3 linked regions of the Caenorhabditis elegans genome follow. The protein of the gene in region 2 purifies or fractionates together with the protein of the main gene of each other region. This does not show direct contact. Each region holds a gene or a part of one and is shown on either strand. Other genes may lie near its edges.

Evidence for each region.
Region 1: the proteins of enol-1 (region 2) and pfn-1 fractionate together in Caenorhabditis elegans (co-fractionation; one large-scale study listed by BioGRID). This does not show direct contact.
Region 3: the proteins of enol-1 (region 2) and Y53G8B.1 fractionate together in Caenorhabditis elegans (co-fractionation; one large-scale study listed by BioGRID). This does not show direct contact.

The regions. Positions count from the first base shown.
Region 1 is NC_003279.8:12,919,900-12,923,651, reverse strand, and holds pfn-1 (Profilin-1), read right to left. Parts: upstream 1,649-3,752; 5' UTR 1,613-1,648; coding exon 1,487-1,612; intron 643-1,486; coding exon 370-642; 3' UTR 104-369; downstream 1-103. UniProt on the Caenorhabditis elegans protein: Binds to actin and affects the structure of the cytoskeleton. At high concentrations, profilin prevents the polymerization of actin, whereas it enhances it at low concentrations. By binding to PIP2, it inhibits the formation of IP3 and DG.
Region 2 is NC_003280.10:8,928,858-8,932,609, reverse strand, and holds the start of enol-1 (Enolase), read right to left. Parts: upstream 1,608-3,752; coding exon 1,516-1,607; intron 505-1,515; coding exon 419-504; intron 263-418; coding exon 1-262. Other genes in the region: mrpl-50 (Large ribosomal subunit protein mL50), read right to left, coding at 1,801-1,926, 1,973-2,171, 2,225-2,757; cct-2 (T-complex protein 1 subunit beta), read right to left, coding at 3,127-3,299, 3,346-3,752.
Region 3 is NC_003281.10:3,127,163-3,130,914, reverse strand, and holds the start of Y53G8B.1 (maleylacetoacetate isomerase), read right to left. Parts: upstream 1,639-3,752; 5' UTR 1,571-1,638; coding exon 1,507-1,570; intron 1,013-1,506; coding exon 948-1,012; intron 902-947; coding exon 728-901; intron 565-727; coding exon 484-564; intron 50-483; coding exon 1-49.

The sequences.
Region 1 (3,752 bases), on a different chromosome or scaffold from region 2:
GGTTTCGAAAAAAACACGCGATAATTGCTCCGAGCACAAAACTCTTCTCTCACTCTCTTTCTCCGTCGATGGGAGATGAAAATGAAATAATCGAGAAGGCATTGAATTGGCAATGAATTTACTAGAAAACAAAACGGGGGAATACAATACATTATGATAAAGCTGAAAGTGAAATAAAAACTGTTTCTGTGTTTGCTCTGGGAATGGGAGTTTTGAGGGAAAGATTACGCGGAAGAAAACCGAATTTCATCGTTGTACTCGTAGAAATCAAGGTTTGGGAGAAGGGAGAAGGGGGAAGTTTGCAAAAAAAAAATAGAGAAAAGCGGGAATAAATACGAATCGAACAACAATCGATAGAGAGAGAAGTATTTAGTATCCAGCATTGTTGAGATAGGTTTGCATACTCTCGACAGCCTTGCGAACTTGTGCAGCAACTTCATTTGGTCCCTCGTAGACAGCAATCAAGACTGCAGACTTGGTCTTCACAGCGAAGAATCCAGTGTTCTCCTTTTTTCCGAAGATGAGCGATTCTTCGGTACGTGGAACGACGTAATGAACTCCTTCGATATCGGCTCCTTTTGCTGGAACTTGAGTGACGTCATTGAATAGGGCAACGAAGGTTTTGAGCTCTTCTTCGGATGCCTGGAAATTGGAAAAAATTAGAGAAGTTTTTGGACAGGAAATATTTCTTGTTAAAAAATTTGCGCTTTGAAATTTCCAAAAATTCGAAATTTTAAATCCAGTAACCCTAAAGTTAGCCTTTTTCCCCAATTTTCGCATTTTTAGGCCTCAAAACACTGAAATTTCCAAAAAAATCGGCTTATTCTTGGCCGAGATACTGGAAAATCACAAATTTCAGTCTGTGAATTTACATTTTGCAGGAAAAAATCTTCGAATTTTAATTTTTTTTTTAACGCTTTTTAACTCTAAATTTTCATGAAATTGAAAAATCTGAAAAAAAAAAGTTTAGAAAATTCCAGAGTAGGCAGGCTTCAGGCGGCTGAAATACAAGTAGGCTCTAATGTAGGTATCAGGCAGGCCACCTCGAAGGTAGTCAGGCAGGTAACTTGCCTGACCTTCAAGGTAGCCTAAGCCTGTCTGCTGCCTACTTGGGTTTCGAAGAAGTATAAACTATATGAGAAACAGGGGCTGGTAGGCAGGCACGGCCGCCTGAAGCCTGCCTAATCTGGAATTTTTTAATTTTGTTCGAAAAATAATGAAAATTTTGCAATTTTTGAGTGGATTTGCTAATTATTCCTGTAAAATGTAAATTCAGCGGCTAAAAATTTCGATTTTCAATTCAAAAAGTGAATAATTTCGCGAGATTTTCAGTTTTTTGGGTCAAAATGCGAAAATTCCAACAAAAATCGACCCCGCTAGCTCTTTTCAATCTCAAAAATGGGTCAATTTAAGGATTTTTCAATCGTTTCCAGTTTTAATCGATTTTTTCTCGAGCTTCTTCGATGATTTTCGTCCATTTCCATACCTTGAACACATTGTCAGCCTCAGTACGAGCCCAGACAGATCCATCAGCGGCTCCGACGATTGCACACCGTTTGATTGATGGAGCAGCGGCAGTCATTGTGTCGATGTAGGCATTCCATCCGGACATTTTTGTGTTTTGGAGGAGGTTGAAGCGGAGATTATACTGAAAAAATAAACATAAATTATGATTGAGATGGTTGGAGGGGTAATGAGAAATGATAATATGAAGAAAGAGCACAAATTAGGAGAAAAAGAGCATAAAATCGCTTGAAAATTACGGTTTTTGTAAACAATCGATTATTTTTTGATTTACTGCGCAAAAAATGGAATTTTAATGCCGAAATACCCAAAAATTGATATTTCCGCAGATTTTTTGCTTATCTGTGGTGTAAGTTGGTGGCGAAGAACTTGCGAATGGATAAAATGACAAAAACCAACAAAATCTCACTAAATTCACAATTTTCTCGCCAATGTAGTGCAAAAATTGAGCTTCTTTCATGAATTTCTTGGAAATTTTCTGTGAATTGAGCCGATTTAAACCAAAATTGGCATTTTACCTAGAGTTGACCAATTTTCGATGATTTTCAGACCATTTTCAGGCCAAAAAGGCGGAATTGAAGCTCGAAAACACCGAAAACTACCAAAAACTACGAAAATAGTAAATATTTCGAGTTTCAGATGTAGAAAACTTGGAAAAATTCAGCTTTTGGAAGATCTCGCCTCGAGAAATTAGGACCAACTTAAGGGAGAATTCTTTTTAAAAAAGCAACGTTTTGAGGCGAATTTTCAACTACTAGAGGATTTGAACTATCTAGAGCAATCTGAGAATTTAATTTCACAAGAAAAATGGCATAAAATCGCCAGATGACCCAAAATTGAGAGAAATTAAAGAAAACTTCCAATTTCAAATTCCGAAAGATGAAAATTGCTACGAAAACTAGAGGACATCTTTGACCACCCGGAACACTCCATCTAATTGGCTGGGCAAATGGAGAAGCAGTGAATGACAGTGAGGAAAAGCAATAGAGAGAAGAAGAGAAAGAGAATGTTTGCATGCCATCTGGTGCTCTCCTTCTTCCCCTTTTCAACCCGAACAACGAGCTTGTGCTCCTGCTCCTGCCTGCTTGCTCCGCTGGTCAGTTATTCACCCATAAAGGACGAAAAGAGAGACAGAGACCGCCCATCAAATTGAATGTGTGTGTACTACTAAAAGAGGGTGAAATAACCCGCCTCAATCCATACTAATGTCAAATGCAGTTGCAATTTATATTGAACACACAGACCCAGAGACACAACCAAAGCCAATGATGAATCATTTTGAAGAGAACACAGCGAAGACGACGGAGGAGAAAGAGAACCAAAAGGCGATAGAAGACGAGTTGCGAAACAATTCAATTTGAACAAAGCTTTCTAGCTTTGAAAATTGCGAAATTGAGCGCTGAAAATGGATCTTAATGCCGAGAATGACCAGTGGATTGCGAAATTGGAATGGTGAGTCACATGGAACAGCAGGTCGCCAAAAATCGTCGAGGAAGCTTCAAGTTGTTATAATATTCGCAGTTTTTTCTGCCAAGGAGATCTGAAAGTCATTTAGAAGAAAAAAAATACATCAAAATGCTCAAAAATCATAAAAATATTCGAAATTTTGATGATCGAAGCCCCAAAAAAGTCACGAAATAGTCAAAAGAGCCGCGAAAAACAGAAATTTCGTAGCATTGGCCGGATTTTTCTATAAATATTGCAGAAAACCCGAAGATTTTGTCAGTAAATCGAACGAATAAACTCCAGAAAGCGGAAAATGGGGAAAATGGGGAAAATTTTACATTTTTCTACAAAACACTCACTGTGAGCTGAAATTTCATCAAAAAAAATAGGAAAATTGAGAGTTTTCTAGTCGAAATCTTACGCTATGTGATAATTTTTATAGCTTTTTTATTTTTCTCGATTCACGACGTTATCGGATGCCGAAAATTGATAAAAAACTCTTTCTGAATCACCTATTTCCGCTCCTTCCTTACAGTTTTAAAGCAAGAATGGAACGAACTGAACTTTCCGGAAGAAAATAGGGTGGAAATCAGGAAAATTAGCGAATATTTGCTAGAGAATGAGGAAAATATATTCTGGCAATAACCGAGACAAAACGCGGAAAAAACTGCTGGAAATATCAATTTTGGGAGAAAACGCGAGAATTTTGTGAAAAACCTGCGGAAAATCGGTAAAAACGTCACAAAACCGGCCAAAAAAGTGGAAAAATGAAGAAATTGTCA
Region 2 (3,752 bases):
AGTGAAACTCCGAGAATGGCGTTAGCTCCGAGGTTTCCCTTGTTTTCCGATCCATCCAAAGCCATCATGAAGTCGTCAATGTCCTTCTGTGCAGTGACATCGAATCCCTTGGCGATCAGAGCTGGAGCGATCTTCTCGTTGATGTTCGAGACGGCCTTGAGAACCCCCTTTCCGAGGTGAACAGCCTTGTCACCGTCACGAAGCTCGAGGGCCTCATGAACTCCAGTAGAAGCTCCAGATGGAACTGCGGCACGGAAGACTCCTGGAAACAAGAAATGATGTGATTTCGGAATTGCGTCATAATGTTGAAATATACTTCATGAAATTTCAGATTTGAATAAAACAAGATTAATCTTATTTTATTCAAATCTAGATTGGTTTTTCAAGTTTTGATAGAATTTATACAATGCTCGCTTACCTTTCTCAGTGAAAAGATCAACCTCAACAGTTGGGTTTCCGCGGGAGTCGTAGATTTGGCGAGCGTGGATCTTGGTGATTGGCATCCTGCAAAATGAACTATATGTTTTCAATAATCAAACAAGTATATAAAACTACGTGAGAAACGGGCACTAGTAAACAAAACAACTGAAAAGATAAAATGTTTGAGGCGAGAAGGGGTAAAGGAGTGCGAGAAGAAAAAGGCGGCGCCGTCAATAGACGGCGCAGAAAGTGGAAAGAGTGACGAAGGTCGCACGGAGGACACGAGACTCAGAGAAAATGCAGCTGGTTAGATGTGTTTGTGAGCGGCCCGAGAGCGCACGTTCAATAGAATCGCACGGACAGCCTCTTTTTCGTGGCAGTGAATAAAATTCGTTTGTAGATCTCAAAGAGACGCAGTTAAGATTCGAACTGAAGTTACAAAAAAAAGGCATTGCAGATTCACTAAGTTCTTGAACACTTCTAGATATTGAGAATTATGATTAAATTCGTCATGCCGAGAAGAAAAGAGGAGCCAATGCCTTGGGCTCGAAAACAAGTGAGGGGCCAAGGACGCCAGCAACTGCCGCTGGGGAGAAGCGACGACTTGAGCGGCTGCCTTTCGCCTAAATACGTGACTTACACGAAGTTTCAGATTGGCAAAGCATGCACTTCAGATTGGATTTGAGAAGCGAGTTACCAAATGTTTTTTATGTTCAGTGGTCAGTTTTAGAAGTGAGAAGAAGTGATAAGGTCTGATATGAGAAGAAATTGTTGATTCGGAAAATTTGCAAAACATTTCGGAAAAAACTTATTTTTGAAGAGAAACACAACTATTTTCTTTCTAACTAAAACACCTCAAAGCTTGCGTGTTGAATTTAAAGAAAAACGTTAGTTTGCACACACTATTGTTCAAAACCATTGAACAAGTCAAAATGAAACATAAAAGAAAAGTAAACATCAGTCAACGTTTTGGAAAAAAGGCACGGCAGACCCCATTACCCTGATTCAGCAGCCAAAATTTTGCAGATTGCGTGTGGAAGTCGCGGGAGCATGAAATCAACTGGCGGAAAATAAAGAAAAAGAGATAACCAAAACCTTTGTCCAGACAGATTGCTTTTCGAAGGCTGCCCGCCACCTCGAATGAGCGAAGTGAGCGAGTGAGCTGCCGAGGTGAATGGAACAAACATTTTAAATCAAAAACTGAAATAACTTGCGTAGAGCAAAACTTTAGAGGAAGATCAAAACGTGAAGAGGTCAAAAATATTTTTTTCAACGTCAATTTTATTTACAACAATAAAAATCGATAGATCAAACAAAAAGAAAATAGGTCTAAAAATACTAAATATGAAACTCTAATACAAAAATGAACCAAATTATTTTTTATTGTCGAATCCTAGTGAATTGCTTTGTTTTTAGGTTGTATCGTTTATCAGTGTATTTGTCCATTTGATTAGCAACTTCTGGATCCCATGGCATATTCTTGTCAGGACGAGTGTAATCAAATGTCTGAAAAATGCCGATTTTAAGTCAGCACTGAAACTTTAAAAATTACCTGATCATCATAATCGAACCATTCTTTTTTCGGTTGGAACTGTCGAAGTAGACGTTTCTGTCTCAGAGAGAGAACTTCACCACCTGATCCTGGGAATGCAGTGATTCCACCATGATACATGTGAGTGTCTTCAGGATGGAAACGTGCAGCATGCTCCATAATCGAGACGTTTTTCGGTTTGTTCTCATCGCGAGCCATTCTATAATTTATTTTAATTAATAATTCAATAAGCATCTTTAAACAAAAACTAACTCTGTATATTTTGTTACATTTTTGACAGGCGTCTGATAAAATTCGACGACGTCTGCCACTGTTTCCAAATGAAGAAGTTTTCCATTGGTTGGCCAATGTTCGATGGATTTTCCCAGCCTGTTCAACAACTCGAACTTTACAGAGTTATCTCCTTCCACAAATTTGTACTGATCCACGTTTTCAGACTTTACTCCAGCACTTCTTAGACATGATGACGCTGCTTCAAGTACTTGGTTTTTGACATCAACGCCGGGAACATAGTTTTGCGTGTATTTGAGAAAACCTCTGGCCCGGATGGCATCCGTGTCGATACGGCTCATCGTCAACAGATCATCGTCAAATTCAGTGACAGAATCAGCTGAAGCAGTAACTTGTGTGGATTCTCTAGCACGGATGCTGGGAAGCGTCTTGCGAAGGCTCTCCTGTTCTTCCAGTGTCAGCTGCTTTACTGCTTCCTTTTCCCCGGATTTTCCAAACATTCCTTTCAACAAGTTACCTTGCGATCGGACAAGCCTCGGAAAACTCCTGTGCATCTTTTGGCAGTTCTAAATTTTTTCTTTTAAGCTTTTTCTTTTCTCTTTAATCAGAAATATAAAAAATCAGATAAAAACTGGAATAAAATACATTTCAAATATTGTACCTTTTGTAAATCGCACTCCATTCATTTTAAAAGGAAAACAAATCAACAAGCAAAAACACGCGGTATTCTCGAATATTAAATTGAAAACGGGGGCATATAAAAACGGTAGGCAGAAGCAACAGAAAGTGTATCAAATTCCATCAAAAATAAGAATGAAGGGGACGAAAAAAAACGAGATACGATTGTGTTGAAGCACTCGATTAAAAGCTGAAAAAGGGAGAATAAAGTTGAAGATCTTTTAACAGTCTGGCGAACAATTTGATTAGCATGGTCGGTTATCTTGAGCACGGGCACGTGGAGCTGCCTTGATGATATCGTCGACGCGAAGAATTTGTTCCGTGGCTTCAGCGGCGGAAGAAACCATGCACAACTTCACATTGTAAGACTCAATAACGCCCAATTTCGTAACATCAGCAACCTCTCCTTTCTCGATGTCTGAAAGATAATTTTGTATAATGGTTAGATTTCCAAATGAACAAACCGATTCCCATATTGTGACGTCCATTGGCGTGCTCTGCACGGAGTCTTGTGACAAGTTCAGCCGAGTCAAGTCCAGCATTGTCGCAAATGATGGTTGGCAATTGAGCAAGGGCTCTTCCGAAGGCTTCAACGGCAAGGGCTTCCTTACCCGCAACCTTTTGAGCTTCGACGGCGATGGCTGAACTCATCAAAATTTCGCTCGCTCCAGCTCCGGCAACAGTCTTTGATTCTTTCACGTGAGTAACGAGAACACAAAGGGCATCATGGAGGGATCTTTCGGACTCATCAAGAATCTGCTGAGTTGCTCCACGAAGAACGACTGAGCAAGCTTCACCCAATTTGACTCCCGAGAACCGAAGAAGTCTATCTTCTCCAATCATAATCTCTTCAATCAGATCACAAGATCCG
Region 3 (3,752 bases), on a different chromosome or scaffold from region 2:
GGAGCTCTTCGAGAGCCTTGAATCCTTTGCTGATGAAGTGTTGGCACCACTGGAAAAATTCACTTTTTAAAGAATTTTTTATTGATTTCTTGAAGTTAAGAGTATAAAAGGAAAAATTAATTCAATTATCGAATTCAGTGCATTAAGAGCTTAAAAAAGTATAATTATAAAAAGTATTATAAATATATAAAAAGTATAATACACAATAGCTACCGCAACCCTGAGGGGTTTCGTGGCAAGACCCCAATATGGGTATCATCTTGAAGCTCTTGGTGAGCTGAATATAAAATTCGTATTTGAAAATCTAAAAAGTTAGGTCTCGACGAGGAAACTGCGAAGTTTTTTTTTTCAAAAAAAAAAAACAAATTTTTATATAAATTTTTTTGGAATTTTTTTTAGAAATTGCTTTAAATTTTCAGATTTTTAGGAATTTTTTTACACCTACAAATACTAACTACTCTATAAAATTTTTTTTGAACTCACAAAATCCCCATAGCCGGGCTCTTTCTCATTGAGCATCAGGTAGATCGGCTTGTTTTGCAGAGGCTGGATATTTGAGGCGATCTGAAATTTTTCTATTATAGCAAAATCGAGAAATTATTTCTGGTCTCACCGCGAAAACAAACCTACCTATTTTGTGGGGGTCTTGGTGAACTTAATTCGAATTTTAAAAATTTTAATACGAAAATAACACAGTTTAATATGTCTATAAATGCAACAAACATACATGAAAAGCAATAGCTCTCGCGCGAGCTTTGAGCTCGGGCTCTTTCGGCAAAAGTGGTGGGTCTGGGTAGATTTCATCGAGATATTCGATTATTGCCATGCTTTCTGTCAGAGTTAGACCGTTGATTTTCAGAATTGGAACTTTTTCCGCAGGATTGTTCCCATGGAATTCTTGCTGAAAATGGAAAAACTTGGAGTTAGGAGCAAAATTTAAAATTTACCTCTTTCTGTTTGTTCAGCAAGTTCACGGGTTGATATTCATAGTCGATCTTTTTCAGAGCAAGAGCTGAAAAAATTTAAAAAAATCCCATATTTTTTTTTGTCTTCTGAAGTTCAGTTACCTGCTTAGATATAGACCTCAAAAATTCCTATATTTTGTTAGTTAAAATTTTTTCGATAGCTCTTCTCCCCGCTGAGATATGCGCGTTTTAAGTTTAGGCAGCGAGAGAGTGTGGAGGGAGGGGAGACGCAGGTGGCACTAGTTGTCTGCGTCTCTCCCCCTTCCACAATGTTTCTTCACGTCAACTTTAAAGGCGCATAACTCTGCCGAGGAAAGAGGTACGAAAAAGTTGTAAACTGGCAAAATATAGCCCTTAAAATATCCAACATTTTGTTGATTGACAATTTTTGATAACTTCGCACTCTGCAGAGATATGCGCCTTTGAAAATTAGACAGCCTCTGCGTCTCCCCTCCCTCCATACTCTCTCACCTTCTTGACTTTAAAGACGCATAGTTCAACAGTAAATCAGGATTTACAGATTTTTTTTTGGAAAACTCACCAGTTCTAACTCTTGACGAACATCCTGAACTCCAAGAGGAGTACAATATAGGTTTTGCTGCCATTTTCTAAAGAAAGTCAATGTGTTTGTGACAATTTTGGAGAAAAGTGATAGTGATGAATGATAATGAATGATAAAGGTCAATAACATGTTTAGGTGAGAAATCGGTGATGTTTGGTAGCAAAACACAAGGTGTAATGATGTTTTAGGTGTAACTTTGCAATGAAGAAAGTTATCAAAAAAATTGTTGACTATTAAAATATAGCCCTTGAAATTTCCTATATTTTATTGGTTGACAACTTTTTTTTAACATTGATAGAAACAGAGATACAAAGGGCTGAAACTGCACGGGTTGTTGCCTGCGTCGCTCCCCGCCCATTCAGTACTTCTTTTTTCAAACGTTAATATCTCTGCTAGGAAAACTGTTCTAGAAAAGGTGCAAACTGAAAAAATATAGCCCTTGAAATTTCCTATATTTTATTAGTTGACAACTTTTTCTAAGTTTTTTTCCCTGCAGAGATATGTATCTTTGAAAATTTGTAGGTGAAAGAACGCGCAAATTTTTTGATGTCTAACTTGTGCCCAATTTCTTACCACAAAACATATTCTGATTATGTTCTCTGACCTGATGTTTGCTCATATCTTATTTTTTCAAATAATACTGGTTTCTAGTTGGAGGCCCCGAAACGTTAAGAAAAAAAATTTTAGGAAAAAAAAAATTGACTTTGATCATTGCCTCCTTATCAGTTTTAACGTACATTCCATAATTTCTTAACATTTTCTTATCACTAAGTGACTAAGTTTGCTCTGAGAGCACATTTTCAGCTAGCAAACCTACATTTTCTTACAATTTTCCCTCGAAATTGTAATTTCGAAACTCTTAAACGGGTAACAATCGAACAAGAATCAAAATTTTAACCAAATTTTAACAATTCAATGTAGCCCTCAAAATTTCCTATATTCTGTCAGTTAAAAACTTTTTATTTCTCTTCTCTCCGTTGAGATATCCGCCTTTAAAATTGACGCCATAAAATAGTGTAGAAGGGGGAGAGACGGAGACAGCGCGCGCTGCCTGCGTCTCCCCTCCCTCCACACTTTCTCGCTGCCTAAACTTTGAACGTGCATATCTCCGCGGGGAGAAGAGCTATCAAAAAACTTTTAACTAACAAAATATAGGAATTTTAAATGGTTATATTTTGTTAGTTGAAACTTTTTGAAAATCTCTCTTAGATTTTGAGATATTTCGGTTTCAACAAAGAATCACTGAAAATCGCTTTTGGATTTGAAATAAAGCTATTTTGGTTCAGGAAATGAAGCATTTTAGGAGAAAACCGCATGATATATTAGAGGACCACATTTTGATCTTTCAAATATTGCTTCCGGCAGATTTATACATTTTTATATATTTTTGTGGATGATTTCAGGGAGATTCAATTTTTTCCAGTTTTTGTAGATAATTTTAATTGCCCCATTCAAAAATGACTAACCAAACTTCCAAAAAACCAAAAAAAAACAAGAGACGATACGCAGAGTACACTGCGATAACATCTGCGTCGTCGTCTCTCTCCACACATTTTGAGAGACCGAGCGACGAGAGAGTGACAATTTGTGAAGAGAGTGGTGAGACGACGAGACACTATCGAATCGCCACCCCCCACACGGACGTATTATACAAGCAAAAAGCCACGTTTTGAATGGCTTAAATCGATTATAAAGTTGACAAACTGCTTGGTTTTTAGTCTTTTTCTTGAGTTTCTTATCGATTTTAAAGGAAATTTGTGGATTTTTATTGGTTTTTAAACAGAAACTAATAAATGCATTGAATTTTTCACTATTAAATGGCTGAAATTGCTGAAACAAACTTTTCCGCTCGAGACCCATACGATAAAACTGCCCCATGCTCCTTTAAATCCACAGTACCACTTTTTTCTTCTTTTTCTTTGGTTTTCTTGTTTTTTCTGTTTTTTTAAAGAAAAATATAAAATAGATGTTTTCCGATGAGTTTATGAAATAAACCCAATTAAAACTAATAGTTTATCAATTTTTAAGCAAGAGGTTTTTTAAGCTCGCTTAAAATGTCAAAAAATAAAATTTCCACTCGAGACCCATCATACAAAATTGTGTGATGCGCCTTTAAAACCACCGTAGCTGTTTCTCTCGATTTTGATTAAATTTAATCGATTTTTATAGAATTTCTGCGATAAAAATGCGATTTTTTGTCGAATTCCTTAATTTTCAAGTCTTTT